4 linked regions of the Caenorhabditis elegans genome follow. The protein of the gene in region 1 interacts with the protein of each later gene in a pairwise test. Each region holds a gene or a part of one and is shown in the gene's direction. Other genes may lie near its edges.

Region 1 (7,808 bases):
TTCAGTTTAAATTCCTAGAATCCCCTAAAAATCTATGTTTTTTCCGTATAAACCAAATTCTATTCAGTTTTTGGATTTGATATCAATTGGTGGTTGAACTCTTTGGATTTCTAGGCCACCAATTATCTGAACTTTTTTCCCCTGTGACTCTTGTGCCTCTATTCGTATTGATTGCAGTAAAAACGGGTATTTATTCACATTTTCAGCCTTAAATCAGCTGAAAATGTGAATAAATACCGTATTTCTGCCAACAATTTGACAATAGAGCACATTTGTCACTCGGAGATGCGGAAGCTATGCCCAAATTTTCATTTTTCCCGAAAAACTTGTAATTTTTTACGGTTTTTCATTAATTTTTTTTTAATTTTTGAGGCTTTTTTTTGGCGAAGAGTCGCTTTTTAATCGAATTTTGAATATAAAAACTGAATTCTATGTGGTTTTTGGATTTAAAATCATTCGGTGGCCGAACTCTTTGGATTTCTAGGCCACAAAATTTTTGAACTATTTTCCCCTGTGACTTATGTGCCTCTACTCGTTTTTTTTTGTTTGCACTAAAAACTGTATTTATTCACATTTTCATCCTCAAATTGGGCTGAAAATGTGAATAAATACCGTATTTCTGCCAACAATTTGACAATAGAGCACATTTGTCACTCGGAGATGCGGAAGCTATGCCCAAATTTTCACTTTTCACCCGAAAACTTGTGAATTTTCACGAAAATTGAAATTTTTTGATGTTCCAAGTAGATTTTCGGATGAATTTTCGCAATTTTAGCTTTAAAATGCCAAAAATTTGGAATTCTTTAAGAAAAAAATATTTTAAAGTGCCGATTTACGCCGTAAATCGACACTACAATATTATCAATAATGTGCTGCGTGCGCATAAAACAAATACACTTAATCTGTGTATATTGCTGCGTCTTTGACCCCTCTTTTCCTTCGATAAAAATGGTAAAAATATCGATTTTTCGGTTTTTTCCTTGTTTTTTATGGAAAATTTGAATTTTTAAAGAAAAAATTGGTAAAAAACGCTGAAAATTCACTGGAAAAATGTGTTTTTAGCGAAAAAAAATGCCTCGAAATATAAATTTTTAATTTTTAATCTGAAAATTCCCGTGAAAAATGGGAAAATTTTCGAATTTTTCATGTTTTTTCGACTAAAAAGTCGAAAATTTTGTGAAATTTCTCGAAAAAATTGAAGTTTTCTCAATTTTCCAGCTTTTCCCCCTCAAAATGCTCCAATTTTCAGGATATTTTCATATATATTTTTTTTTTTTTTTTTTTTTTTTTTAAATTGTGAAAAACGTTGAAAAGTTCACTTTGGAAAAAGAAAAATATGGAAAAATTCAAATTTTCCACTAAAAATTGACATTATTTGCGGAAATTACCAGCTTTTCGGCGTAAAAAACGCTAAATTTGTCAGTTTTCCGCAAAAAATGCTCGAAAATCCAAAATTTTGTGAAATTTCTCTCAAAAAACGCGTGAAAAACGCTATTCAAAAAAGTGCAATTTTCAGCTTTTTTTTACTAATTTTTTCTTTAAAAAATTCAAATTTTTGACTGGATTTCTTCAAATTCTCCATTAAAAACGGGTTTTTACTCAGAAAAGAGGGGAAAAACCAGGAAAATTGAAAAATTTTCATATTTTTCGACTGAAAAATGCAAAATTTTGTGAAATTTCTCTCAAAAAACGAGTGAAAAACGGCAAAATTTACAAATTTTTCTAAAAAAAAATCGGAAAAACGCGAAATTTTCATGTTTTTTTTCGGCTAAAAATTAAAATTTCCATTTTTTTTTTTGCAGGGTCGGTGTGTGATTTGTGGTGGCGCTGGCGTCAGTGATGCATATTATTGCAAAGAATGCACAATTCTCGAAAAGGATCGTGACGGATGCCCGAAAATTGTGAATTTGGGAAGTGCGAAGACGGATTTGTTCTACGAACGAAAGAAATTCGGATCGAAAAAGTCGTAGAAATTGGCTTTTTGGCGGCGAAAATGAGCGAAAAATCACAAAATTTCGCCGAATTTTCACCTATATCACCTCTAATTTATCAAAAATGTTCCAATTTTCTGTTAATTTCCACTTTTTTCCGCTGAAAATTCCTATTTTTCTTGAAATCTGACTGAAATTTGGCTAAAAATGAGCTGGAAATATCGAAATTTGGCTGAAATCGTAAAATTCCCTTTTTGTTCCCTGAAAATTGAGCAAAAATGTCAAAATTTTGGCATTTTTGACCAAATTTTGCCTATTTTTGTGAAAATTTGCCTTTTTTTTTCGTTGTTTTTATCGAAATTTTGCTGAAATCGCGATTTTTTCCACTATTTTTCCCTAAAACATCCCTTTTTTACTGGAAATTTGGGCAACATTTTGGCATTTTTGCCTATTTTTGTGAAAATGTTACCATTTTATTGAAAAATTAGCTTAAAATGACAATATTTTCCTAAAAATTTCGAATTTCCGTGAAAAATAGCCAAAATGTCACTTATTTCAGTTAAAAATATGCCATTTCCCTGAAATTTGGCTGAAAATTCGCCTATTTTCACTTAAAATTCCGCAAAAAGCCCTTTTTTTCACTCAAAATGTTCAATTTTTCCCTGAAATTTGCCTGAAAAATCGATATTTTCACTCATTTTCACCTTAAAAATTGTCTTTTTCCCCCATTTTTTCCAATTTTCCTCTACCCTTTTATCAATTTTCGAATAAATTATCGATTTTTCTGTAATTTTTCCCTTTTTTTGCTGTGTTGTGCTGGTTTTGTTACCTATTTGTGTATATTTATCTCTATTTTTTACGGGAATTTTCAGTTTTCCCCGAATTTTTCTGAATTAAAATCACTAAAAATCGATTTTTCTTCCTGAAAATTGGGTAATTTTGCGAGAAATTTAATTTTTGTTTAAAAAAAAACTAAAATCTGAATATTTTTTGGAGAAAATTAACCAAAAACTTGAAATTTTATGAAAAAAAAATGGAAAAATTTCAGATAAATGCGTCGACAAGGCAGCGAAGAAGTTGAAGCTGTACAGCAATTTTTAAATGCTTTCGGGTTTCATGATAGAGGTAATTGGATTGAATTTTAGAAGAAAAAACACCGAAAAAGCCGAAAAATTGACTGAAAAATCGAATTTCTGACGAAAAAATGAGATTTTCCATAAAATATCAATAATTTCAAGTAAATATTCGAATTTCGAGGGGTACGGTAGCACCAAAAGTACGCAAACACTGTGGTACACCAAATCTTACGACATTTTGCAGAAAAACTCCTGAAATTATAATAAGAGTTCAGATTTTTTTCATCAAAAGAATATATTGGTGGCCGAACTCCTTGGATTTTTTTAGGCCACGATTTTCTGAGCCAAAAATTTTATTTTGAATTTTTCGTTCAAATCTCGTTTTTTACTAGAGAAACTCCAATTTCGGCTTTTTTTCTCTTGGTTGCCTAACTTTTTTTTTAGATTTCTAGGCCACCCATTAAAAATAGACCGTTTTATTTGATTTTCTACATAAAAACGGGGATTTTGAATTTTGAATAATTCAAATTTTAAAACCAAAATTTTAATTTTAAGTCTTTTTTTTTTTTGAGATATTTGAAATTTTCTAGACGGTTTTTTGGTGATGAATCGGTTTTTATTAGAATTTCAACTATAAAAACCGAATTCTAGTCAGTTTTTGGATTTAAAATCAATTGGTGGCCGAACTTGTTGGATTTCTAGGCTACCAAACTTCTGAACATTTTCCCCTGTGACTCTTGTGCCTCTATTCGTATTGATTGCAGTAAAAACGGGTATTTATTCACATTTTTAGCCTTAAATTGGCTTAAAATGTGAATAAATACCGTATTTCTGCAAACAATTTGACAATAGAGCACATTTGTCACTTGGAGATGCGGAAGCTATGCCCAAATTTTCATTTTCAAGCCGAAAAACTTGTGAATTTTCGCGATTTTTGCACAAAAAAAACCATTTTCAGCCGATTTTTCCGTAGAAAAACGGATTTTTAATCAAAATTTTGCAATTTTCTGTATTTCAGATGTGATAAAAGTTCAAGAAGGGCTATTCCACAGCCGTCAGCTCAACGATGTGAACGCTTCGAGAACATGTGTAGATCAATTTGTTAAGAAATGTATGAAATTCCAGGGAAAAAACCAAAAAAAAAAGCGGCAGTTTTCCAGGCGAACTTCGTGATCCGAACGGAATAAAACCGCTTCGCAAAAAAATCGATGCTCTGATGAACGAATCGGTAGAAATGAATTATATGATGGATTTTCTTGTGAGATGTCGACAGGCTCACTTATTTCATAATGAAACAATAAGAAATAGTCCGAGTATTGGTCTGGGATCCATTGGAGGTACCCCGACCAATTCGATTCCATCCTCATCGCCGTTTCAAAGAAGATCTGCAAGTCGTGGACGGGTGCTCAGCACGCTGAGTTCGGTGTTTTACCGGTTTTAGCCGCGAAAAATTGTGAAAAAACGGAGCAAATATCACTGAAAAGTCGATAATTTATTTGAAAATTGACATTTATTTTCATTAAAAATTCGAAAAATTAGACATTTTCGGTCAAATTTGACCTGAATTTTATAAAAATATTTTTTTTCTCCTTAAAAGTTGAAGATTGTGCTTATTTTTGTTCGATTTTCGAGAAAAAATGCTGAAATAAAACCTACAAAAATGTGGAAAATTGAAAAAAAAAAGTTTTTTTTTTCATTAATTTTCAATAGAAAAAAAAACGAAATTTTTGCCATGATTAAGTGGCCGAACTTTTTGGATTTCTAGGCCACCAGTCGGAAAACTCGGATTTTTAGAAATTTTTTATTAAATTTCTAATTCTCAAGCAACAATTATTGCGTTTTTTTTCATTAATTTTTTTTTAATTTTTGAGGCTTTTTTTTGGCGAAGAGTCGCTTTTTAATCGAATTTTGAATATAAAAACTGAATTCTATGTGGTTTTTGGATTTAAAATCATTCGGTGGCCGAACTCTTTGGATTTCTAGGCCACAAAATTTTTGAACTATTTTCCCCTGTGACTTATGTGCCTCTACTCGTTTTTTTTTGTTTGCACTAAAAACTGTATTTATTCACATTTTCATCCTCAAATTGGGCTGAAAATGTGAATAAATACCGTATTTCTGCCAACAATTTGACAATAGAGCACATTTGTCACTCGGAGATGCGGAAGCTATGCCCAAATTTTCATTTTTCACCCGATTTTTAGCATATTTTTGGGGTTTTGATGGATTTTAAGTGTTGAAATCGGTTTCAGCTAAGAAATTTTCGGTGACCGATCTTTATGGAATTCTAGGCCACCAAGCTGATTTTGAGCCAAAAAGCTATGCTCAAATTTTTATTTTCGCAATAAGATTTGCAATTTTCCATAGAATCATTCCACAAAAATCAAATTTTGAGCAAATCCCCAAACACTGTGGCCTAACTTTTTGCAAGTTTTTAGGCCACCCATTAGAACTTTGGCGTTTTTTCTCGAATTTTCTACAAATTTCTATGTAAAAATGTATTGAAATTGAGAAAAACTACAAATTCAAGCCTATTTTCGCTTTAAAAATCATGAAAAATCATTTTTTTTTAATTGGAAATTCACAGAAAATTGGCGAATTTTTCCATAAAACTAGTGAATTTTCCAGCCGGAGACCAACAAACTCCATCAATTGCCGATTCATCGTCTCGTTCTCGTGCCAATTCCTCATTTACTGCCTATGACAATCGAATGCTTGGAATGGAACGCCAATTGGCTGGAAATATGGCTCAACGGCCACGGAGTCCGTATACAATTAATGGAATACCAACTACGAGGGTTCAGCCGATTAGCGCCAGCAATCAGCTTTTTACGTGCGTAATTTTCGAGAAAATTTGAGGAAATTTGGTTGAAAATACCGAATTCACCGCTAATTTTCACCCCTAGCACACTTTTTCCGGGTTACTGTAGCTTTAAAAGTACGCCAACACCAGATCTAACGACATTTTTCAGAAAATCGCGAAAAAATGAGTTTTTGTGATTAAAAATGGCTCAAATTTTCAAGTTTTTTGAAAAAAATCACTTCAATCTCGGTTCTCCCCCAGTTTTTACCCCAAAAATTCATTTCTTTGACGTTTTCTGCAAAATGTCGTAAGATTTGGTGTATTGCGGTGTTTGCGTACTTTTGACGCTACAGTAACCCTGAAAAATAAGTTTTCCCATTTTTAGATCAGAATCAGCCGAATTTTTCGAAGAAAACGAGTAGGTTCATGGGATTTCCTTAACAAAATGTGTGCTTTTCCCCACTAAAAAACCTCAAAAATCACCCATTTTTTCAGTTTTCTAACCTGTTTTCCCTGTTAAAAATCAGTTAACCTTCAGTTTCTACTATTCTACTAATTTTTTTAAGCGAAAAATCAAAAAAAAAAACGGGTTTTTCATCAAAAAATATATGAAAAATCACTTTTAAAAAAATGTTTAGCGCTTTTTTCATAAATTTTTAAATAGAAAAGTGAAATTCTGTTCTGTCTGGCTGTTTTTTGAGACAATTAATTAATTAATGGCCGAAATTTTTGAATTTCTAGGCCACCGTGCGAATATTTTTAATTTTTCGTTTGAATTCTGAATATTTGAACGAAAATGGGAAAATTTATGGAAAATCAAAACAAAAAATGTGAAAAAAAAATTTTGGCCGTTTTCTTTTAATCTTATGAAAAAAATTTCCCAAAAATTTGCAAAAAATAAGGAGAAAAAGACGAAAATGAATTGGTGGCCGAACTCTTTGGATTTCTAGGTTATCTGTTAAAAATTGAAAAAAAACGGTTTTTTGAGCAAAATTTCCCCGTTTTTTGTGCCAGAAATGTTCAGATTTTCATACAAAATTTGAATTTCTTATTAAAAAAATTGGCATTATCGAAAATTTTGGATTTTTTGAAATAAAACAAATTTTCATGTGTAGATTTACGCCGTAAATCGACACTATAATTTTCTAAAAAGGTAAAAATTCACAGGAAATTCGATTTTCATACTGAAAATTGCTGAAAATTCCTAGAAAGTTGAAAAAAAAACTGAAATATTTGTTCTTCGGCTCCAAAATTGAAATTTCAGTGACTTATGTGCTTCTACTCTGATTGATTGCAGTAAAAACGGGTATTTATTCACATTTTCAGTCATAAATTGGGCTGAAAATGTGAATAAATACCGTATTTCTGCCAACAATTTGACAATAGAGCACATTTGTCACTCGGAGACGCGGAAGCTATGCCCAAATTTTCATTGTTCAGCCAAAAACTTGAAATTTTCACAGTTTTTGAACGGTTTTCAGTGTTGAAATCGGATTCTCCACTACTTTTTACCCCCAACCTGCACAATTTGCTTTTAAAAAAGTGAAAAAATGTTGGTGGCCGAACTTTTTGGATTTCTAGGCCACCAAGCTGATTTTGAGCTATTTCCTACGGTTTTTTTGCTGCTTTTTCTATAGAAATTTTGGCTCAAAAATAGGTAAATTGAATTTTTTTTTGTTGCGAATTTTGAAAATCAGCCGGTTTTGCTCCGAAAAATGAGCAATTTTCTCTGAAAAATCTCGAAATTTTCAATTTTTCAGTGCTTCCAATGGCTTCACACCTCCAAATCCACATCTCCGAACAACTTCTCGTCGTGAAGAATCACCATCTTCCTCCGTATTTCCACATAATTCAGATTTTGAACGTAACCGTGGTGGTGCTCCGAACCGTGCTCACCAGCTCCGCCATCCGACCACAAGCCACCTATTGAATACATCTGTGACGTCATCGATTCGGGCGAATGTTAATTCCAACTCGAATACGCCGATTCATTCGAGA
Region 2 (10,131 bases), 3.8 Mb from region 1:
TGTGTTTAAAAACTGTTAATCATTTCATTTTTTAGACTGAGAGTTCTATATCTCGGAGGTAATCGACTCCGTGAAATTCCTGCATCCATTGGTTGCCTAGATGAATTGGAAAACCTTGGTCTTTGTGATAATATTCTAGAGACAATTCCATCAACATTAGGAGATTTGCACTATTTGGAGACTTTGTCCTTGCATAACAACAGATTGCGAACTCTGCCCACTGATATTTTAAATCTGCGACGTCTGCAGCAATTATCTCTCCGTAACAATCCTCTGGTTCATTCATTCGTTCATAATATGGATCTTGCACCTCCATCATTGAAAGAATTATCAGGAAGAACTGTTCGACAGAACTATCACAAAGTACCGAATCTGGACGAAATTTTGCCATCGTAAGTCTTATCAAATCTTTAATTTTATTTTATGTTGGGGACATTCTAGTGATTCAAAATTGTATCAAATTGAACCCTGACGTGACCTTGTTTCTGATCAGAGTACGATATTTTTGAATCAAATTGTTTATCGAATGCCTTACAATAACCCTTTTCAGTGATCTCGTAGCTTATCTAGGATCCGCTTGTCAATGTGTCAACCCTGAATGTCAAGGAGTCTACTTCGATGCTCGAGTTGAGCATATAAAATTTGTGGATTTCTGCGGAAAGTATCGAGTTCCACTTATGCAGTTCCTGTGCTCACCACGTTGCTCCGCCGGAGTTCCATCAGTCGACTACGATACTTCGTCTGAATCAGAAGAGGAGATTGAGCCAATCATGAGAAGAGTCTTGCTTGGTTGAATTTCGTGTTAATGTATTTTAATTCAAACTTAGAATCTCAGTTGTGATCTCGTTATATTGACATTTTCATGTTTTTTTTTCATACGCCGAGGAATTATATGAACTGTTTTTTGGGTACACTTTCCAACTATAGTTAGAGACGATTAAAAAGACTAAACCAAATCGATTTGTACTAAAACCCGAAGAAGATTAACAAAGGGAGGTCATGACATGGATATTCAATGTGATTTATCGACTCATTCGAAACAATGCAAACTTTGACATTAATTTTTATATTTTCTGTGATTTTGACTGTATTCCATGTGGAATGTGCAACAAGAGCACCAAAACTTTCGAAACACACAAAGGTGAGCATTTATTTTCTGGAAAGGAATGAAAGTTGCTATCTTTTTTTCTTGAAACGCGAAACTTTGGTTGCAAAAATGTTTTTCTCAAATTTTTTTAGTTGTGCAAAATTAATAGCCTTTGGGGTACGGTTACTACATAAGTTCCCTGTTTTTGGTTTTTTTTTTGCTCAAAGTAAAAAAAAACATTTAATTTGTGGAATTTAGACAATGTATCATTTATCAAATTTGATTTTCGAACGATGATCTCTGCAAAAGTCCTAAATATCATCTTCTCTAACACCTTGCAATTCTTGTTAACCGGTTTACAAGTCTCAATTTGCAAACACAAAATTTAATATAGTTTTAAGGCCTAATCTCTGAATTTTCTGTGTCACAAGGGGGTATTCCCCAGGTTTTTTTTCAGAAAATGTTCATTGTCCCACCACAACTGATGATATCAAATTATAGAAAACAGTCAACAAGTTGGTCAACTGTCTGACTCCCGTGGACACCGTTTTGGCCGCCAAGACAGCCGATTGTGAAGACAGTATCTGTGTGTCAAGTGCTAAACAATATGCACAGAGACGATATCCAACACAGTATCATAGTACAGTAGTCCCATGTCTCTCATCAACAACTACATTGGCTCCTGTCACTGAGAAAATGGAGAAAACCAAGAAAAATGGAACTAAGAACAGGAAAATGAAGGTGGAAGGCGTTGTCAACCAAGAATAATTGGAATTGAAGAAATAAATAAATTTTCAGTCTTTTTAAATTATAATTTAGCTCACCTTGACACTTCCGGTAGCTTTCAAATTTGAAAGGTTTCGCTTTGTAAGCACATTGAGCAGCGTAGTTTTTCCAGCTCCACTGGGTCCAATGATCGCGGTAACCTCTCCGGGTCGAGCCACTCCGAACACTGAAAGTTATTATAATTTCGTTTCCGATAGTATCAAATTTACCACTATCTAAAATCCGTTTTTCCACTGACATCTTCTCTACATCACCGACTTTGATCGGGCAACATTTTCCAAAAAGTCCACTATTTGAAGAGTAGTCTTCTGAAGAGTCCTGAAAATTCTAAATATTGTTCACAACAAAATTTTTTATTATATACCGAAACTGAAATATCGTGCCATGTCAGCAGCATTTTTGGTCGAAGCTCTTCCATAAACTGTAAAAATTAAAAATTAATTGAAAACTATGCAAAAATAAAAAATCACGGATTTATCAGCTTTATCAATATCAGAAGTTGAATCCACTACACTCATTGACTCGATTGAACCTTGAATAACATTTGATTTGAGCATTTTTGCTGAAAAAGGTGAAAAATGAGTATAAATTGATTAAACCGAAGGCGGCGGTAATAAAATTCAAAGAAGCGCGAAAAATAAATCATTGACCCCGCAAACACCGGTACGCAAACTTGCACACACAGTTCACCGTACTTGACGACAAATTATCAGAAGAAATGGGTGAATCACCGACGACGGTGAAAATTTTAATCGGACAGAAAAACCGATAGGGAGTTTTCAATATCGAATAAAAATCATGTGCATCTCACACAAAAATTCATAAACGCAAAGACAAACAAACAGAATCGATTCGACTCGTCATCAACAAGAGCTCACTTGCGGAGCTCTGTGCACCACGGTCGATGACGATTGTCGGAAATGATAAGTGACATTCTTATCATCCAACACAACAGAAGGGCTCATTGTGTTGAAAAAATCAACGACGATGGACGACAGTCAAGAGTCGAGTTTTTCGGTTTCCAAATATGAAACGTAAGTCGAATAGAGTACGGTATTCGGAAAATCTGAAATTTAAATTTTTAGAAATGATGATGGATCTATGGGCCAATTCATTTCAATAAATGTAAGTTAAACTTCCATTAACAGTTTTTCAAAAGTCTGAGAAGGTAGATCAATATAATTCATTAGAGCGCATTTGCTCGCCTTGGATCAAAAACTTGGAAATCTATAATAATAATTTGAAGGAATGTGAACGGGAAATTCAAATGTTAGAACGTGACATTCGTCAACAGAAAGAGTCCAGTGCAAATGCGAAAACAGCGATAACATTCGATCAACTTCGGAAAATTCATACGTACGTTCCGGGCCGTCCGATCAGTTTTCCCGTCGGCCTCAATAGCTCACACAGGTAAAGCGCCAAGTGTGAAAAATGGCTGAATAGTGGGTGAAGGGGCGCTGGCGGGTGAACGATGGGGGAAAAATGGGCGAAGGACCGCAAAAAGACGAAGCAATGGGTGAATAAATTGACCAATCCGAAAATCAAAAAAGAAGTAAAAAAGGAGCATAGCAAAGTATTTCCGAAGTATTCATGCATAACTAGTATACGTGTTTATGGAAGTGTTTATTGTTAACAATGTTACAATCAATTGATTGTTGTAATGTTCACTTCATTTCCGAACATCTACTATTAGAGTCATCTGTTGTTGAATAATGTGAAAAACATTTTGTTACTTTTTTAAGGGTTATATTTATAGAAAAAATACCAATTTGTTATTTCCCACAAGTTTGGACATTCATATTACATTCTCAGTCGAACAATCACCTATATAAGAGTTGATTGAGCATATAGACGTCTTACTTTAAAAGACTCATAACTCTGTTGGCATTTGAATTAATAAAATGTGGCCAACTGAAAAGTTGTTGACAATAATGTGAAAAACATTTTGTTAGTTGGTAACTTTTTGTTATCTTTAGTGACTGCGGAGATGTGGGCTTCAAAAGATAACCAAAATATTCTAGATTTGTACTTAAATATATCTCAGTTCTCGATAAAGATGAAGAGATACTTACAACTATCAATATGTTTATTGTTTTAAACTTAACAACGTTGTAGTTGATAACTTTTTGATATCTTGCCTCTAGAATTAGATACATCCATTTTAATACAGGAGGTTTTAATTTTCAGAGCTCCAAGGAATGTCGGTTTGACTTATCGAAAGCACCGAACTTAGCAAAAAAACTTATAGAAACAAACAATTCAACATATTTCTACAATACCTGATAAAAATTTGATAATTTTTGAAAAAAAATTTTTTTTGATTTTTGAAAAAAAAATCCAAAGGGTCCCCCCTTACAAAATTTTTCAAAATTTTTTTTTTGGAAACTTTTTATAATATGATTAGATGTTATAGAAAAATCCAATGTTTGTAATTATTTCTAGTTTGTATGTTCTGAACACGATTTCGGACGAAAACCTGAGGTGTAGTAGAACAACTAAGTTCAAAAAACGCGTTCACTTTGGATGCGTATATCTCCGTGGAAAAATTTTTGATGGCAAAGTGATCAACTACAAAGTTGTTTATCTTAATCTGAAGTACAACTTTGTAGTTTATTGTTTCTTGTCAAAAAAATTGTTGGTCGAGATAAAGTTGTGTTCATTTTGGCAACTTCATGCTTGAATTTTCTTCTTCTTTTTCTATTCCTGTCTCAATCAACAATTTTTTTGACAAGAAACAATAAACTACAAAGTTGTACTTCAGATTAAGATGAACAACTTTGTAGTTGATCACTTTGCCATCAAAAATTTTTCCACGGAGATATACGCATCCAAAGTGAACGCGTTTTTTGAACTTAGTTGTTCTACTACACCTCAGGTCTTCTTCCGAAATCGTGTTCAGAACATACAAACTAGAAATAATTACAAACATTGCATTTTTCTATAGCATCTAATCATATTATAAAAAGTTTCCAAAAACTTTTTTTTTCAACAATTTTTTTTCAACAATTTTCATCATAAGGGGGGACCCTTATGATCAAAGTAATGATTTATCAAATTGGATGAAGAGGGTCATATTTAGAATTTTTATCGAAATTTCATTCGAAACTCTTAAAGTTGAAACGGAAATATCTTACTTAGTACTATTCGATCTATTTTTCAGCGTTTCAATGCGTTTTTTAACACCAATAAATCATTTCAATTCAACGCTTACTCTCATTATGAGTTTCATAGCAACGACACTCCGAAATAACCCTAGCGCGCCCTCTTTAGCGAAAATTTTATTCAATTTTTTTTTGCTTTTTTTGCAATTTTTCTCGTTTTTTTTCACGATTACCGCTAATTTTGCGTGATTTTGTGAGCAACATATTTTTCTTTTTCACATTTTTATAATTTGCAGATAAAAATCGAGAAAATCAACGAAAAGGATCCTTCAAAACGACGGAATAGGAAAAAGATGCCAAAAATCAGGTATTTTCAGAAATATTGAGAAACTCTGCGTCTATTCTTCTGTTAACTAATTATAATTGGTTTCTTATTCGAAAAATATAAATTTTTGTCACGAAAAAAAGCGAGAAATAATCTTCGAATTCAGATATTTCGTCCCGACGCAACTTCGCCGGCTTCGACGAGGAATCCTGCAGCGAGGGACACGATTATGAGCTGTTAAAGTGAGTTTTAAAGTTTTAAAATGTATTCTCCCGAAAGAAAAATCGTCAAACTAACTCTAAAGCATGATAATTTTTACAGGAGTGTCGCCGGCACCGACTCCGAACGAGAAAAGCTCCGACGACCGCAAACGAGAGCCGAAGGAATCTGGAAAGCGAAGGTAATATTTTATTTTCAAATATCGATACTTGTTTCTAACGAGCGAAAATGTATAATGTAATGTAATAATGATTAATCTTCTTTATTAAACTTCTTTAAAATTAATCATTTGAATTTTTCAGAAAATGGATCGATAAAATCGCTTACTGGAGGAAGACAAAAGGAAGAAAAGCGGAAACGAGTCAATTGCCGATGACACCAGAGGACGATTCATCGAAATCATCAAAAGATGAAATAAATTATTTTGTTTTTTTTTCGATTTAAAATAAACGATAATACTATAATATACTCGTTTTATGAATATTATTCTTCACTGAAAAGCAAAAGGAGGGGAATGGAAACGATAGCCTTCACCCATCGCTCACCCATCGCTCACCCATTAGCGAGCCGCTAACATGCGAACGGCGGCCCACCGGTGTGCGCGCTGTTCGTGTGTCGGCGGTTCCCCCCTCGCCTATATGCGGTCCCCCCTCGCCTATATGCGGTCCCCCCTCGCCTATATGCGGTCCACCGGTGGGCCGCCGCTCGCACTTGGCGCTTTACCTGTGCAGTTGGGAGAGCGTACGACTGAAGATCGTAAGGTCACCAGTTCGATCCTGGTTTGGGGCAATCTATTTTTACTTTTTTGGTATTCTTATATAAACTTGGTAATTTTAAGACTCTCTACATTGCTTGGACCACACAAAGAGCTATTCTTTGATAGGATATGTCGGGCAGCCGATATACAAAGGGCATCTTTGAAAAATCGTTTGAAATCAAATATAAATGTAGGATATTTTTTAAATTCAATTTTCCAATATTTTTGACTAATAGTAAGATTGCAATTTTCCAGAAATTCGAGCCCAGCACACCTCTGTCGTTTCAACCGGGATTCGATTCTCAGAGCTCTCTTTCAACGACTTCAGAGAGCCAAAATTTTGTGGTGACCCCAACAACTCTTAGCAGTTTATTGAACAATCACACAGTAAGTTTTTATGAGATTGTCGTAGTAGGTAGGCCCGTGCCCATATTATCATAACAAGTCTACCTGACCTACCTGACTATTACACATTTTCTGCATTTTGAGGCCACTTTAGATGATAACTTTAGATGTAGATGTAAACCTTTAGATGTAAACCAACTGAGATAATAACAAATAAGTAGGTCTTGTAGTGTAGCAGTAGGTAGGCACAAGGAAGGTATTATATGCCTACGTCGATGTTATACTGGTTTAATTATCAAATCTTTTAATTTTCAATAAATAATTTAAGCGGAAGAATCACATTGAAATGCTGGCTCCACTAGCGTCCGAAGAGGAGTTGATGAGATTTCCTGCGGAACGACAGTTTGATCTAATGCAAATTGGATTTAGTTACGATGAAGTGAAGCAGTTGCTGGAAATGTTTGAAAAATTCAAGAATGACGTTCAAGAGATTAACAGGCTTCATACATTGACACAGGTGAGGAATAACGGTTACTGCAGAGAAACGAGAGTGTATGTATTCTTTGGATTTGGTTGAAGGCACCTAATTCAGATTCTCTGGATTAATTGTTCCTAAAAAATATTTTTGAGATCCTGAATCAATTTTGCAACTACATCTCAATGTACGCACCACCCAATCTGAAAATGATATCATCGGCGTTCAATTTGCTAGAACTTGGAAACTCAGCTCATGAAGTGAAAAGGGTTTTACTGAAAGCGGTAATCTAAATATTCCATCAAAAAATATAACTAAATGAAATTTTTATAGCGTCGTCGTGAAGAATCAGAAGAATCAGATGTTTCATTTTCCAAAAAGCCACGTCCTTCTTCTAGATCTCCTGCATCTCCAAATCGAGATGATCTATTGTTGGGACTCGATCGTTCTCCGCCCAGCGATGATGGAACTCAGAAAGTTTGAAATTGAAATTGATGAATATGAAACACACTTTTATTATATTTAAGCACTTACCTCGGTTTTGGATGATTTCAAACGTTTTTCTACTGATGCTCCACTTTTAATTCAGTTCTCAATTTCTACAGATTTATTATTATTATTATATCAATATTAAGCAAACCAGTAAGCTCGAAATACAACATGCAGAGGACGGATGAATTCTGACCATTTTACAATTAAAAAGCGAAACATATGAAAAGAATATAGTGCACAATTAAAAAAAGAAGTGAAAGAGACCTAAAGCCGAGTACAGTACTTTTTTGTTGATATACGCCTAGTGACTTCATCAATACTGACAAATGATCGAGTGGGGAATCTAATTAAACAACAAGTTTAGAGCTTCGTAGCCATTATGAACATGACACCTTCTCCGTCCAAAACGTATTTCTTTGCATTGGCAACATCAAGACCAACAGATACAAGAGCATCAAGAATCATCTGTTCACTGAGATTGAGGAGATGGAAGATTGTCTGTAAATTTTGATTTTTTTTGTTGGCATATACATACGAGTATTTTGGCTACGAATTTTAATGCAGGTCTATTTATACAGTTGGGTCTCGCCGCGCGAAAAAACAATCATATGTTTTTTTTTTAAATTTTGTACAAAGTTTGGAAATATGCTAAGAGCGGGTAAAAGTAAGAGGAAGTAAAAAGAAAAACAAGAAACATCCTCGAGAAAACGGTTTATCGGTTTTTCCTTTAATTTTAAGTACAGTAACATGTTAGTCTTGCGGCCCCACTGCTCCGTTTTCGAAGTTAATGTATCGCTTAAACGTCTAATATTTCAGAAAAAAAAAATACTAGCACTGTTTCAAAAAGATATGTTCTATCACAAGTCTGAATTTGTATCCTTCAATCCTCATTCCCATCGCCTAAAACCAATAAAACTTCTCTAGCTATCATATATACCTGCATCATTGACGCAATCACACAAACTGACCCCGTTAAAATCGCAAGAGCACAGATCAAATTACCAGATCAATTGGCCCTTTCCTACCTTTCTTCCCGAGTTGTACTCATCGTCCTCGAGCACCGAACCAAGCACAAAACGACCGCCGGAACGGAGATGTCTCATCTGGAATCACACAAAATCAAAACACATTTTGATTTCACTTTTTCTCATTTCAAACTATCAAATCTGGTGCCATTCAGTCGTTGGCTCATTCTCATTTCTTTTTTTTCCGAAAAACGACACACTTTACATCTTGGAAAAGATGAAAGACATCTGTTTCTAAACTCTTTTTTTTTTCATTTTCTTCGTTGGCACCGTGAAAATTGGATATAAGATAGACAGAGAAATAGAGAACGGGTGTAAAGGGGAAGTGAACACTGATTGTGAAGAGATATAGGAATATGAAAAGAAAGTTATGACGAAGTTGTTACTGGAGAATAAAATAGATCGAATTACACTTACAATAACTCTTTGAGCTAGTAGTTTACTGTAGTTTACAATTTTATTGTTCTCTATTCGAAAGAAATTCGTGTTTTGAACTTAGAAATGGAGAAAAAGAAATGTGAACCAAGATCTATCTTCAGTACTGGGATTTCAGAAACTATTTTAGAAGAGACGTGTAAAATAACCTTAATGGCATAATCAAGCTCCTAAAACGAACGATATGCTTAAGCCTAAGCCTAAACCGCAAAAATCCATTTAGACTTACCATATTAGTGACACATTTACAATACTCTTCATAGTTGCGACAAGCACTTTCTAACGTGAAGATCGACACCAGGATATCCACCTTCTTCCCAGCCAATTCAGGGACCACATCCATCTGGTGAACATCTGCGAAATGAATTCCACCAGACTTGACCAATCCGCGGGCTTTTTCTTCAACATCAATGCATACTTGATCTGTTGGAGTGGGACCTCCTTCCGTTCGGTTGATCACTTTGATAGTTGGCACCCAGTCAATAGTCTCCTCGTGGCGGATCCATTTTCTCAGAACGTCAAGGTTCCGATCGACAAAATCTGATAAGTGAACACGCTTTGCCACATCACGGAAACAAAGAGCCGAATAGACGGTTGGTCCTGCTCCAATATCCAGAAGAGTTTCACGTTCAGAAGGTCGCATAGTTTGGAGCATAAGTTGGGCGAAGACAGGAAGTGCGAATAGGGAAACACGGGTTCCATCTTCAATAGCATCTCTGGAAATGAGAAATGAAATTTTGGATATATATGGAATGTCTGATGTTTATACTCTCTCCCTTGGATTGTTCGTTCCTTGTCAGACAGGTACTTGACTTGATAGCACCCAAAAATGTGTCGTCTCATTTTCAAAAGTTTAGAGTCTAAGAGCCAATGATGCCTCCCTCCTCTTTTCTCAGTTTTTTCGATCTCTTGACACAAAAGATCCTCTCCTACTCAAAAAGAGAAAAAGGTAACCGATCTGCGACCGATTTCGTGTGCAGCAGCAACAGGAGCAAAGCCAAAGCAAGCCGGGGATAAGAGGTTTTGTTTGTGAACAAACCACTCGTTTTTGTGTCAAAAATGAAGTGAACGGTATCGAGAGCGG
Region 3 (7,809 bases), 5.8 Mb from region 1:
TTCTTGTTGTTCCCCTCATAAATTAATTACTTATATAAGACAACTTTTACTAAGCAAACGCAAAGTTTAAAGATTTTTGCGCCAAAAATACAGTACCCGGTCTTGACACGACATTTTTGTTAAATACAAACGGAAGTGCGCCTTTAAAGAGTACTGTAATTTCTAGCCTTAGTTGCTGTGGGATTTTCTTCGATTCTTCGTGGTTTCTCTCACGATTTTTGTTTAAAAAAATCTAAATATGCGTTTTCAGTTGTTTTATTTTAGTTTTGTAATATATAAAATTTTTTAAATGAGAAAGAAAAAAAAAAAAATTTTTAAATGAGAAAATCGACGAAATTCCGCCGTAACATTCTACTGGTTGCATATGTAATCCTGAATAAAAAGTCAAACATTGAAAAAAAAAACAAGAAATAGGATTGAGAAGGATCTTGTCGATTCCTTTACAATCAGGTGTATAGTTTGATTCTCTCGATTTTCCACTAACATCTACAGTTTGAACTTTATCTTCAAATTCGAGGGGTTTCGGAATGAGGGAACTGAGGGGAACCGGTCTAATTGAGAGATTTCAGAGAATGTTGCATTTCATGTTGAATGACGCTTCTTCTTCTTCCCCTTTTTGAATGAATAACAACTGTTGTCCAAGAAAACGCCGACGGACGACGCAATTGATGGATCGAAGGAGGGTGAATCCGTGTCGCCGCGGAAGACGGTTTGCCATTAGAATTGTCTCCTCTTTTTCTCTCCTCATCATTTTCCATGCATCACCCCCAGCTTTTCGCAACAACGTCTATGTTACCCGTTTCAGATATGACAAGACATAGAGAAAGAGAGAGGAGGGTAAGGTTCTACAGACAGAAATAATTAGAAAACGTTTCACTGAGTCATTAGAAAAGTATACCCGTAATCATTGTTTTGTCACGTCATGACAGTAATATGTGTAATTCGAAGTTTCGTTTTGTTCCTCATCCAAGTTCAATAAAGCAATTTCACAGACAAACTGTAATTTCCATACTGCGTGATTTCAAAGTTTGATATCCAATTTTTACGACTTTGTGAAACTCGTACTTAACGGCGCACGGATTCATTTGGATGGGTCTCGCCACGAAGAAAAGGTTATGGTACCAATTTCTGAGTTTCGCATCGAAACTAGAGATTTCGTGGCGAGACCTATCTGAATATTTATCTGTGCGACTATTACTTAAAGAGTGACTTTAAAGTAGATCTCGGTGAAAAATAACTCTATTTTATTTTACGAGAAAAGCCGAGTTATTTTCTAATTGACAACTCCTATTTTTGGTTGTATTTTGCCAATCAAAAGTTTTAAAGAAACTGCAGGCTACCCAAGCTGATCTGTTATAAATCTTACGCTTGAACTAAACTCTACAAACTCTTCAAAAGCAATGCTCGTTCTCACACTACTCCCTTCCCTCTATGTCTCTCGCTCCTTGGCATGTATTTTTCATGTAGGCCTTTACCAGCACGTTGAGTCGCCGCTTCCGTAGCGCAGTAGGCAGCGCGTCAGTCTCATAATCTGAAGGTCGTGAGTTCGAGCCTCACCGGGAGCAAGTGCTTTTTTGCCCAATCGGAATATGCTATGTTATCTAGATGAGTTTTTGGTTTCACTTTTTCTTGCTTCTCCAATTTTAAGCTAAACCGAGACCGAACACCGAATGTGTAACTCTTTTGACTATTTTATAAGTGAAGCTGGTATCATTTCGATGCATCAGTTTGCAAGTACATACCCATTGCTATGTACATAATAAGATTTACTGGTTACTGACTTGACAGTCATGTCTTCTTTTTGTCGTCGCTTTCTTCTAAGCGCGAATAACAACTCCCTTTGTGTCTACATGTTTGTTTTATTAAATTAATACGAATTTTATTATTGGAAGAAAACTACTCCCCACATAATTTTTACATCTAATAAAATTTTAAAATAATCTTTAACTACCCAATAAAACACCAACAGAAATTTTATTACGACAGTTTTCTTCCAGACTTGTCTTAATTTAGACTAACAAAAAGTTTTCAGAGTTTTGTTTTGAAGTCCGATAACTTTTAGTTACTTTGAGAATAGATTCTTCAATCTTTGCTCATATATTTCAGAAATAATACCCTGATGGTAACCAAGTGATCACATTGACCGGACACTACGATTTCGAAACAAAGCATGATAAGCAGCTAGCTTTCTTGTCTTCTTGTATAACCTGATATATTCATTTCTCGAATCATTCTTCTCTTTTTTCTTCTATTGTTAACCTTTTGTCTACGTCTCATCATCTCTACATATTTTCATTGTTCTCTATTGGATCTCTTTCTAAAAAGTGTCCAAAAAAACTGACTTGGCGGTCACTTTTTGGCGCAAGTACCTGTTTGGTCTCAGTTGTTGTGAAAGTACTTTACAAAATCATTTCAAAATTAAAATTGATCTTCACTTATGCGAGTTTACCTTAAAACTTTTGGAATCATTTCTAAATACACTAGAAAATTTGTTGTGAACATGCAAAAAACCATGAAAAAGGAGGAGTCTATTTGGACGTTTACCTAACTATAAGTTCCGTCATTTTTTATTTTCTTATCAGTGCTCGTTGCTTTTAAGAACTTATATAAAGGTAATACCGTTGAAAAACATCTGCACAATCTTCTCGATTATGTAATTTTCTAAAAAATAAACACCGTTCATATCTTGGTCTTTTCATGTTTTGAAATGTTTTTTGATCTAAGTTTATTTATTTAATTGTTTTAAGATGGATTTAAAATTGACAAATTACATTTCCGGCATTATTCTGCTTCAAACTGTCTTCCACAACAAAAATTACAAAAATTTCATTAACGAAGTTTCATAATTTTTCTCAGAGAATGTTTCTTCTGAAAAGAGCATGCTTACTTTCTTTCAACTTACTTTCAAGGTTCAGTGATCATGCCAATTAATTCAATTTAATTAATTTAAACGATCACTTCAATTAGCTATCCATTATCTTTTTCTTATCTTCCGCACTTTTAACAGAAAAAGTCTAAAAGAAGTCTCTCTCTATCTCACCTGTTTCTCATCAGTTGTTGTTTCATTCAATGTCCATTCCACGGGGAAAACATTAAGTTCTTGTGGTTTTCAAGGTTAGATATTTTTGCTTGAGGATTGTCAAGCTATTTACTCGATAATATGGAATTTTACGTTTTGTATTTAGCCGTTCAGTTATGACCTTTGAAAAGACGGTCTACCTAATGCCAAATAATATTTAGAACTATTAAAAGTGGAGTGCAGGCTTGAACCCCTAGAATGTCTAAATACAAATAATTACAACACAACACAATAGTAGGGGACATATGTTTTTAACCCCATTTTCAGTATTAATTATGCCTCGCCATTTTTTAAACACAAGATTTTCAAAAAAAAAATTAAAATTATTTGGTCATTATGAATGCTTTCAATAATTTCTCCCACTGGCGACACTCCGCCTATTAGAGTGAAATTCGCTAATACTTTTTCCAATCACTGTTTGCAATTCTCCATCGAATTCTTGAAAATCGTCACGGTCTAAAAATGAAGTTTTTTCTATTCAATTCTCCCTTATTCGTGTCACTGTATTCGTTCAACTTTTGTTCAAAAAACGAACACATTTCATTTAAAGATGGCAGTTGTTGCGTCGACATCAGATGATTTCTATGCAAACTACGCATTCGAATCGGCAGATCGAAAAGATGAAAACTCAATTCGGGTAAGTGAATCTTTGAAGAAAGGTCTCATGAATTGAGGGATAAGAAATATAATTATAGGTACCTCGAAGTACAGAAGACAACCGTAGGCTCAAGTATGGACATGCAGAAGATGATAATTCAGATATTGCGTATTTGAATTTTCCAGTTATTGTACCATCACTTGTATTTACAGTTATCTCAATGGGATGTTTTGTGGGTAAGATATTATAAATAAGAATCTCTGAGAAATTTCGTTTAGAACTTTAGGTTATACCTAACAAAAGAAACTAAATCTACGAAAAATGCGAAGCAAACAATAGCTTGGGTTACTGTACCCCTTATAGGCACACACTCTTTTCGCAGGCTTAAATGAAAAGGTTTTGATCGTATCGAAACCGAATAACGTACTTTTGCAGTTTAACCATGGGAATAATTGCACAGAGAATTTGCAAAACTACAATATAAATCTTTAAAATCTTCGAGTTTTGTTGAAATATTTACATGCAACAACTTTTTGAAAAAGAAACAAAAAGACAAAATGCTAGCTGTTTATTTTCAGGAGGAATTTTCACATCCCTAAAATCCGACTACATCCCTGATGAACGAGAATTAATACGAGGATACGTTATAGAATATGGCAGCAGTCGTTTTCGATGTAACGTGAGTCTCCCCTTTCCCCCTACTTTGACTCTCACCCCTTCAACACCCGTGACAAGTGTACGCTCTCGACCGCTGTTACTCTCGAAGCACGGATGGCCGAGTGGTCTAAGGCGCCAGACTCAAGCGTACATTGCTTGCCTCAAGTTCGAGGTTAACTGGGTGTTCTGGTACTCGTATGGGTGCGTGGGTTCGAATCCCACTTCGTGCAGATATTTTTGAAAATTTTCAATTAATTGTTTTCAGACAACAATTCCATTTCCAGCAGATGGGCTTCCATCAATTCTTAATCTTTTTGAATTGAACGTGATAGGAAATGTCCTTTTCCGATATGCAGTCTGTATACCAATAGTAATTAGAGTATTCAATGCACTTACAATAAGGTAATTGGAAAATTAAAGTATTTTTCAAACTCAACGCCTTTTTCAGAAATCTTCTCCGTCATGAGTACGACAAAAAGTTCTCATCATTACATAAGGTTATGGCGGATTCAATGCCAATTTTCACTTTTGTTGAAGCTTTCATGATGTCCCTATTCAGTATTGTTACTGTACATGAGGATTTTCCAGGTAAAATCTGATGCTAAAAAATCCATTTTGTAGTAAATGTTCTATCAGAATAACGATGTTTTTTAAAGGAAATAAAACTTTTTTGAATCGAGAAAAATTAGCAAATAATGGTACTGTATTTGAAAAGTTCCACTCGTTACAGGACCCTTAACCTAAATATCGTTTAATTTCAGAAGCGAATCGTTTCTTTAAAATTGTATTTGCAATGTCATCCGTTGTTAGTATGCTGACCACCACTACGGTTATGTTTGCATTTTCGTCGAATTCTGAAAGTGTGAGTTTTTGATTACAAGACAATTTTCATTTTTATTTGGCATTTGGAAGTCAGAAATCTGATTCAAAAATTTAAAAGGATTACAAAAGGAAAGCTAAATTTTGACGTTTTAATTTGAAATTCACATTTTATCATCCACAAAAACAAAAATAAAGGTCTCACCACGAAATTTTTTCGCATCGTATCCGTACAAAAGTTATGCGTCTCTAAGTACTACAGTAATAAATACACTTTATGACGTCACAAATGTATTAAATTACATGTTTTGGTGGCTTGAATAAAATCTCCAATCTACACTACACTATATACTAAATACACTAATAATCTACACTTTTTTAAACTTTCGAACACTACTAAAATAACCCCATAAAAATTAATATTAATTCAAACTTTCAAATTAAATTTTTCAGAAATGGGATACTGTATCAATGATCATGAAATTAATATCAGTTGTTATTTATGTATATTTAATGCCACAATATATGCAATATCATCAATCTTCTATCACATTTCCAATTTGTCATTCATATAGTAAGTTTTCTTTCTGTCTTATTTTTAATTGAATCAAATTAATTTCAGTGCCCCAACTGTTCGCTTTAATGGAATATTTCATTATTATTGCATATGCAACGTTTCATCTGTCATTCCTAATCGATATTAGAAACATTTCATTCATTTGTTTCCCACGATCGTCCAGTGGAGAGTGTGAACCGATTGATCCAATTAATTTCAAAAAAGGAGCAAAATATGAACACTGCAGAGCTTTTGAATATAATCAACGAAGGATTCTTAGCTTGTAGATTGATGAATTAGTTACAATTATGTTTATTTAATTTTGAATACAGTTTTTTGTTGAATGAGAAAAAAAGAAACAAAAGAATCACCGATTAAACAACCAAATATTTAAAAATAATTTCACAAAAAGCAATTGAAACAGTCAAGACAAAAAAGAATTGAATGAAATCACGCAAACACATATGATATTCAAGAGAAGGAGAGACAGTTGGAGAAACAAGAAAATTGATACTCGTAACTATTTACACGTGCCACTCAACCCAATTGAGAATGGAACACAAATAATACGGTACTTTGTACGCTACAGTAACCCTAGTTTAATGTAAATTATTGAAGGGTATTTGTTAAAAAGGGAAAGCATTGAAGGGAGGAATTTAAATGGATTAAGTGAAAGAAAGAGATTAAGTAAAGAAATAGGAGCAATGAAATGGTATAAGGAAATTTGAATATTGAGGTAGGAAACATCTATTCATCATCCGATAAGTCTTCATAAACAAGATTTTTGCATGGTGGACCGTAATCTTTGATTGGTTGAATCCCGTTTTGAGCTTGAACAACTAAGGGATATTTGACTGGAATCTTCTTGGTAACTGCCACGTGACCGGTTGCCCGTAAATCGATAACTGATCGGAAAGCTGTTTTATCTGGAAAAATTATGATATTTTTTTTGACAAAATTCGTGGGAATAAAAGCTTACCGCCTGGAAGAGGAGGCAATCTGTTGGCTGGCAACTTCTCAGGATTTCGAACATCGTCATCATCTGAAGACACATCTGACACATTTGAGTTGACTGATGATGGTTTACCAGGAATAATAGGCATAACAGGATGATGTACAGCTTGTGGAGTCGGAGGTGCTGTCTGTACACCTACTGAGGGAGATGGCATCGCATGTGGTGTGGAAATTGGAGTTGGTGCAGCAATTGAAGCTGCTGCTGGCGGTTGCAGAAACTGTGGAGCTGATGCGGACGATGAAACTGTAGACGTTGTCGCTTTGTTCAAAAAATGAGAAAACGTTGTTGGGATCGGCCGGACAATTTCCGCATTGGGACGCTGTAAGAAAAGATTCATAGAATTCATTTCAATTTTAAAGATACATACCAAAAGATGGAATTTCTCGTAATGATCAGGCCTGGCTTGCTGCTGCTGTTGCAATTGTTGTGCCGCCTGCAGTTGAGCTTGTTGTTGAGATTTCTGATGAGCACTATGAATTTGATATTGTTGTAGTGCGAGCTTCTCCGCCGCGGAAAGATTTGCATATTGCTGTGGATTCTGTTGCAATTGTTGTAGGAATGCATCTAGTTCTCGTGATGGTTGAAGTACAGAAGTCGATTGGAGCATTCTCTGACAACGTTCCTCGTCTCTCTTGACAACGTCGTTAAAAATATCAAGATACGAAAACTTGGCAGACGGATTCGCGGCGGCAGCAGCTTCGCTACTCGAAATCAATTTAGTCACAATCCGATCAGATGGCGGCGCCTTCGCCTCTTCATACATCATCATTGAAAGACACTCCATAGCTTCATCTTCTGTTTTCACTGGTGGAATGCTCGATCTTCGCTGGTGAGCAGGAACACTTAAAATGCTCTTCATTCGTTGTCCAGAAAGAGTTCTAGGTCCTTCTGTCGGTTGAAGACGTTTTATAGATGCTGGCGTCTTGGGTGGTCCTTGATATACACATTCAATTTCATCTGAATTATTTGTGTTTGCAGGTGACACTGCATTCGAATTCATTGCAGAAGCTTTTGTTTGAAGAAGCTGCGGATGAGTTGGCTTGAAAACTTCATTCATCCTCTCAGCAAGTTCCTAAAAAATCAAA
Region 4 (6,201 bases), about 11 Mb from region 1:
GTTCAAGTTGCTGAAAAAATCACTTTTTTTCTAAAAAATAAAAGAAATCAAACTTTTGAAGCTATATTTAAAAAATTCGATCATTTTTTTTTCGAAAAATGAAGAAAATTTAAAAATTTAAAGCTAATTTTCAGATTAATCGATTTTTTTCTCTAAATATCGCAGTTTTTCGTAAAATCGGATTACAAAAATCCGAAATTTCTGTGAATCATGTTCTGGCTCTAGATTTTTCGATTTTTACGTAAAAAAAACCAAAAAATTCTGATATGTATCGAAAAACTCATAAATTTTTCGATTTTTTTTCATGTTTTTAGCAAAAAAACTTCTATCGAATTCAGTGTGCGCCTTTTTTGGAATATATTTTAAAAAAAAAACAAAATTTTTTAAAGGCGCACACTCTTTTTAATTTGAATTTTTTTCGCGATTTTTTCAGATTCCTAACCCTATCCGTCTGTCTAGTGAGAAATGGCGTCCCGTCATCGTATAATATTTCTCCAATTCAGGTCGTTCCCAATAGAAATCCTTATTCAACAGGGTACAATCAAGATTAATCGAGTGTCGAAGAGCTGCGAATTCTCCGGATCTCATGAGAGCCTGCTTCCGGCTCCACGGAATCTTTCCCAGAGTTAGCGATTTTGTAGTGTTGGAGAGTGGCTCCGCAAGATTGTTTAGAAGACTTTCCCAGACTCCGATTTTCACGGAAGCAGCGAATCCCTGACTGAGTGCAAATCGCTCTAAAATTGCTTCGTTCGAGCCGTGGAAGGCGTCCAAATGTTTTCCCGAGAGGTAGAAACGATCTTGACGAATGGTGGATCCTGTAGACCTGGAAATAATAATTTTCTTTTTTAATACTTTTGAGTTTTTCTTAATTTTAAAGTTTCTGCTGGAAAATGTCATTTTATTTTTCTTTTTTTTTTGAGTTAAAAATTGCAAATTTTGCAAAAAAAAAAGAGGAAAAACCATGCCGCAGGGTTGCAAAATGACGCCCCGCCTCTATATCTGTGCGGCGCCGTTTTGTTTTGCAAATTTCGCTTATATTAATAAAAAATTGTAAATTTTTGAATTTTTGTCGAGTTTTTCCTAATTTTGAAGCTTCTATTGGAGAAAATTATCTAAATTTTCTTTTTTGAACAAAAAAAGTGAATTTTGCAACAAAAAAGCAGTGTCGCACAGAAAAAGAGGCGGGGCGTAATTTTGCAACCCTGCGGCACGGTTTTTACTTACTTTCTTTTTTTGAATGAAATGTTATCCAATTTGATTATCATAAGGTTGTGAGGCTAAAACTCAAATTTAAAAAAAAAGAAGTAAAAACCGTGCCACAGGGTTGCGAAATTACGCCCGCCTCTATTTCTGTGCGGCGCCGTTTTTTTTTTGCAAATTTGACGATTTCAAGAGAAAACGTACTGCTCTGAAAATTTATAGAACATTCTATCCTGCTCATCCATCACAATCATCGAGTCATATGGAGCATCTGCGTATCGTTCGAGCTCCCGTAGAATATGCGATCGCTGACTAGAATCAACGTTCCAAAAAACGACAACTCCATCTCGAAACACGAAAATTTCACTGAGTTCGCCTGGATTGATGGTATATTCCAGTTTTTTGACAAAGTGCAAGCTGTCATCCGCGTCCTCGTCGATTGCAGTTATATTATACATTCCATTGAGCTGTGCATCCATGATGACCTCATTGAGGTTCAGTGATTCTGAAAGTGCCATGGCGACGACTGAAGGTTCTCGTAGGGATTTTGGAACAACCGATGAAGCAACTGGGCGTCTCTTCTTCATCTTTCTAACTTGAACCCGTTCCAGATTAATTATCTCTTTGGGCTGGGTCTCGCTCCGCAGAAGTGCTGTGAATGAGAACTGGCGCCTGGCTGGACCCGGCTTTGTAGCTACTAGAGCTCCCCGAAGTATTGATTTGAGCATCTGTATTTTATAATGATTCTTTGTTACCATGTACAAATCTCATTCCAAAAATCCAATATTTACGAAATTTACGTTTTGCACAAATAGCGACATTCAATTAAAATTAACGATTTATTTGCCAACACATGGACTGGAACGAGTGAAGATTACTTCAGCTTCTTCTTGATGCGGAGCTCGCTGGAGTGTCCGCACTTCTTCTTTCTGCAGTTGCTGGCACGTGGTGGGAGACGAGCATAGCACTTTCTGCAGATCTGCTTGTCGCAGTTGTACTTCTGGGCGAGCTGACGGAGAGATGGCTCGATGATTCCTGAATTTAGAAATATTTCTCAATGCCTGAACATTAGAAAAAAACTAACCTCCACGAAGACGGAGCACCAAGTGGAGAGTAGACTCCTTTTGGATGTTGTAGTCGGAGAGAGTACGTCCATCCTCGAGTTGCTTTCCTGAAATTAGAAAATTATATTGGGTGTTTTGCCCGGAAATTAATTCAAGAATATATCAGGTCTGAATAATAACGTACCGGCGAAGATCAATCTTTGCTGATCTGGTGGGATTCCCTCCTTGTCTTGGATCTTGGCCTTGACATTCTCAATGGTATCGGAAGCCTCGACTTCGAGGGTAATAGTCTTACCCGTCAGAGTCTTGACGAAGATTTGCATGACTGAAATTATATAATTTGAAAAGAAACCGAGTAAAATTGTCAGAAAATGACGGCGAGAGCGAAACATTTGGAGGAGAGCGTAGGGGCAAAAATTATTGATTTTTCTTTAGAGACTAGTTTCAAAGGTGACAAAAGACGTTATAGACCGCATAATGTGTGTAACTACCCATTTAGAACAAAGAGGAAAGAATATTTTGCGTTAAAAAGCTGTAAAAATTCAAGAATAGAGAAATTATTTAGCAAAAAAATGAAATTTCATAATAAATTCGTTTTCCAAGCTTAAAATACAACAGAATCTCCACTTTCTATGCTGAACAAGCGTCCAGAACAATATTTTGATTAAATTGAACAGAAATTTGGAAAAATTTCGCAGAGAAACGGCGAAAATCGAGCAAAAAAACGGAAAAAATTTAGGCCCAGCGACACAAATGGAGGATTGCCGTGGTGATGGGTCTCGCCGCGAAATTGAGAGACGGCGAAAGTACGGTAGAGAGCTGCAGGATTTACGGGAAGGGGGAGAAGAATTCGAATATTATTTTTTTGTTTCAAACGTTTTTCGAACGTTTTTTTATTGATTTCTTCGAGTTTTGTTATGAAATTTACAGTTTTATTGATGAAAATTTTGTTTTTTATTGCAGAAAACTTCAAAAAATGCCAGGCGCTGACTACAGTGCTGTAAAAGGTGGTGGATTGAAATTAAAAGCCGGAAAAAAGAATTTGTAAGTGACATATTCAAGTTTAAAGTGTATAAAATCCTCCATTAATTCACTCGTTGCAGATTCAAAGTGGGAAAGGAGAAAAAGAAGAAGAACAAAGACGACAAGGAGAAAATCGATCCAGACACCGTCGAAAATGGTGGTTGGCGCAAAATTGCCGATGAATTCGATATGAAAGGAGGAACCAACGTCGCCATCGAAGTTGCCAGTGGAGCCGGCTCAACGCGAACTTATGTCGCTGCAATGGACAACGGAAAATTCACAATTGGATTTCCACATCCGGAGGGAGAAGGCCCGAATCCTGAGGAAATTTTCGCGCTCGTCAAAACTCCAGACGATAGTAAAATCAGTTTGAAGACAGGATTCGGAAGATATGTTGGAGTGGACAGCGAATATCAATTGGTTGCCATGGCTGAAGCTATTGGATCCCGCGAGCAATTCGTGTTGGTTTTCCAGGAGGGAAAAACCGCGTTCCAAGCCGTCTCCTCACCACTTTTCCTCTCTACAGTTCCAAATAAAGAGGGGCATATTTATGTGGCTAGTAGAACCGCTACGGAGAATGAAATGGTTAATGTAAGTGCTAATTTAGATATAAATAGATAAAATCCGATTAAATTCAATTTCCAGATCCGTACAGACGCTATACAAGAAGGCCCAGTCGATTGGAGATCTGTGGAAGACCGCAAAAACGCTCGGGAGTGTGAGACGGCCTACGTGAAGATGTATCAGCACTCGAAGGTTGATCTCAAGAACCGACATATTGCGATTGACGTGAAGGACAAGAAAGGAGTTAAGAAAGCGCAGGCCGACGGAAGTGCACACGAGCTGCTGCTGGACAGACGGATGAAAATGAAATCTGATCGATATTGTTAATAATCTTCACTTGTATTTGTTCTGTAAAATTCAATAAATTCTCTAATAATTATTCTTTTACTTTCTTTTTTTGTTTAAGGATGGAGTATCGTCAATGGGGAAATTGCTTTAAAATACTCTTATAAGAGCTCTTATAGGGCCACCAAAAATCTCAGTTTTCACTATTTGAATTACCGCCAATTAAGTTTGTTCGACGGGGCGCGCTTGCATTATTTTTAAAATTTAATCTTATTTATTCTCGTTATTTGACTGATTTCCTTTATTACTTGTGTATTTTTATTGGAAAAAGAGAGAAAAATGCAAGATAAATGAAAATTGTTCATTAAAACATCACTGAAAATGCGTAAAACTATAAAATTATGAGTTCCGACGACAACAAGTCTGAAATTAGCATTTTTCACACAAGTTTTACCAATTTTCAGTGATTTTTTAATGAACGATTTGCATTTTTCTCTCTTTTTTTAGATAAAAATACACAAATAATGAAGGAAATCAGTCAAATAACGAGAATAAATAAAAATTAATTAACTAAAATAATGCAAGCGCGCTCCATCGAACAAATCCAATTGGCGGAAATTCAAATAGGAATTAGGGGGAAAACTGAGATTTTTCTAATTTTCAAAAAATCATATAAAATCTAGAACATTTTTTTGATTTTTTTTTTAATCATGATATTCGGTCATTGTGACCCAATTTTGTGACTTTTTGTGACGTTTCAAAGCAATTTTCCCACTGAATTCAGCTTCAGCTCGCTTTTTCAAAGTTTTCTCTTCCGAGACGAGATTAATGAAGGCCATATGCCGTCCTTGGATGGCATGCAAGCTTCAAGTACTTCCCCTCCACTCTTTTCCTTGAAATCGTACCTTCCTTTCGCCTATACTCCATATGGAAATCCGGTTCCACTGTCAATTCACCGGATGTTGTTGTATAAAAGAGGAGGCATATGAACTGTAGTTTACCAAATTCTGCCGAAAAAAAAAATGGCAAAGTCTACTACAATTTTTCTAGTATTAGTTGCCGGTGCAGTGGTTACCGAGGCTGTGAGTATTTGGAAATTAAAAAAAAATAGGTCTCGAAAATATGATTTTTAGATTTTTAAAAGGTATTTTGAAGCTGAAATTGCAATTTTTCAACTAAAATTACGATTTGCCAGGTCTCGCAAAGAACGATATATATTTATATATTTTTGAACAAAAACGGTGTGCGCTTTTAAGAATTACAGTAGCCTATTTTTATATTTTTAAATTTATTTTAAAGCTGAAATTGCAATTTTTCAACTAAAACTACGATTCCGGGTCTCGTACAGAGCGACATTTAATTTATTTTTTGAACAGAAAGGTGTGCGCCTTTAAGAATTACAGTAACCCATTTTCTTTTTTTTTTCTTAAAAAATCTTTTTCTGTTGAAAAACTACACTGAAATATTACGGGAACACAAAATTCTTAAAATTCTTCTTGCACAACATATTTGACGCGCGAAATATTTCGTAGCAAAAACTACAGTAATTTCTTAAATGACTACTGTAGCGCTTGTGTCGATTTACGGGCTCGATTTTTTAAAATTAATTAATATTTGAAATCGCAGCATTATTTTCTCATTTTTAGCTTAATTTTAATATTTTATCGATAAAAAATAATATTTTAATCCACCCGAGCCTGTATATCGACACAAGCGCTACAGTAGTCATTTAAAAAATTACTGTAGTTTTCGCTACGAGACATTTTGCGCGTCAAATGTGTTGTGCAATACGCAAAAATTGAATTTCGTGTTCCCGTGATACACGAAAATTCCCTAAAATCCAGAGAAAATTTTGGAAAATCGAAGAAAACTTGGAAATTGGTTACTAGTTTTTTTAAAGGCGCACACAATTTTTCGCGCCAAATTTTTTGAAAAACTTATGCTCCTGGCGAGATTGAGTGTGCCACGAAACATTTCCACATCAAAAAAAAATCGATTTCTTCAACAAAAAAAAATCTCTGGTGGGTATCACAATTTCGCGAAATTCTGGCACGCGCTATTTTGG

The links.
Region 2: the proteins of gip-1 (region 1) and rotr-1 interact in a two-hybrid assay, tested with the Caenorhabditis elegans proteins (one large-scale study listed by BioGRID).
Region 3: the proteins of gip-1 (region 1) and C14B9.3 interact in a two-hybrid assay, tested with the Caenorhabditis elegans proteins (one large-scale study listed by BioGRID).
Region 4: the proteins of gip-1 (region 1) and frg-1 interact in a two-hybrid assay, tested with the Caenorhabditis elegans proteins (one large-scale study listed by BioGRID).

Annotation. Positions count from the first base shown.
Region 1 is NC_003281.10:2,344,612-2,352,419, forward strand, and holds the start of gip-1 (Gamma tubulin complex component protein N-terminal domain-containing protein), read left to right. Parts: upstream 1-2,979; 5' UTR 2,980-2,983; coding exon 2,984-3,056; intron 3,057-4,025; coding exon 4,026-4,118; intron 4,119-4,167; coding exon 4,168-4,425; intron 4,426-5,635; coding exon 5,636-5,840; intron 5,841-7,570; coding exon 7,571-7,808. Other genes in the region: phf-5 (PHD finger-like domain-containing protein 5A), read left to right, coding at 1,803-1,970.
Region 2 is NC_003281.10:6,147,156-6,157,286, forward strand, and holds rotr-1 (Nbl1_Borealin_N domain-containing protein), read left to right. Parts: upstream 1-2,805; 5' UTR 2,806-2,860; coding exon 2,861-2,907; intron 2,908-2,958; coding exon 2,959-2,998; intron 2,999-3,119; coding exon 3,120-3,229; intron 3,230-6,246; exon of another isoform or gene 6,247-6,326; intron 6,327-6,356; coding exon 6,357-6,465; intron 6,466-6,530; coding exon 6,531-6,662; intron 6,663-6,948; coding exon 6,949-7,137; intron 7,138-7,250; coding exon 7,251-7,379; intron 7,380-7,428; coding exon 7,429-7,578; 3' UTR 7,579-7,785; downstream 7,786-10,131. Other genes in the region: wht-7 (ABC transporter domain-containing protein), read right to left, coding at 1,912-2,039, 2,083-2,191, 2,238-2,294, 2,344-2,430; Y42G9A.3 (Leucine-rich repeat and WD repeat-containing protein 1 LRR domain-containing protein), read left to right, coding at 36-392, 551-794; Y42G9A.2 (uncharacterized protein), read left to right, coding at 1,043-1,141, 1,589-1,855; anmt-2 (Nicotinamide N-methyltransferase), read right to left, coding at 7,948-8,085, 8,613-8,690, 9,277-9,763.
Region 3 is NC_003281.10:8,105,161-8,112,969, forward strand, and holds C14B9.3 (uncharacterized protein), read left to right. Parts: upstream 1-3,629; coding exon 3,630-3,716; intron 3,717-3,774; coding exon 3,775-3,913; intron 3,914-4,255; coding exon 4,256-4,356; intron 4,357-4,431; exon of another isoform or gene 4,432-4,574; intron 4,575-4,599; coding exon 4,600-4,736; intron 4,737-4,782; coding exon 4,783-4,922; intron 4,923-5,095; coding exon 5,096-5,196; intron 5,197-5,606; coding exon 5,607-5,727; intron 5,728-5,775; coding exon 5,776-5,996; 3' UTR 5,997-6,053; downstream 6,054-7,809. Other genes in the region: gei-8 (Nuclear receptor corepressor 1), read right to left, coding at 6,457-6,635, 6,689-7,043, 7,092-7,796.
Region 4 is NC_003281.10:12,975,935-12,982,135, forward strand, and holds frg-1 (Protein FRG1 homolog), read left to right. Parts: upstream 1-3,227; 5' UTR 3,228-3,240; coding exon 3,241-3,308; intron 3,309-3,367; coding exon 3,368-3,878; intron 3,879-3,932; coding exon 3,933-4,178; 3' UTR 4,179-4,229; downstream 4,230-6,201. Other genes in the region: ZK1010.2 (DUF155 domain-containing protein), read right to left, coding at 443-823, 1,405-1,928; ubq-2 (Ubiquitin), read right to left, coding at 2,075-2,235, 2,285-2,371, 2,449-2,587; dbd-14 (DB domain-containing protein), read left to right, coding at 5,159-5,218. UniProt on the Caenorhabditis elegans protein: Binds to mRNA in a sequence-independent manner. May play a role in regulation of pre-mRNA splicing or in the assembly of rRNA into ribosomal subunits. May be involved in mRNA transport.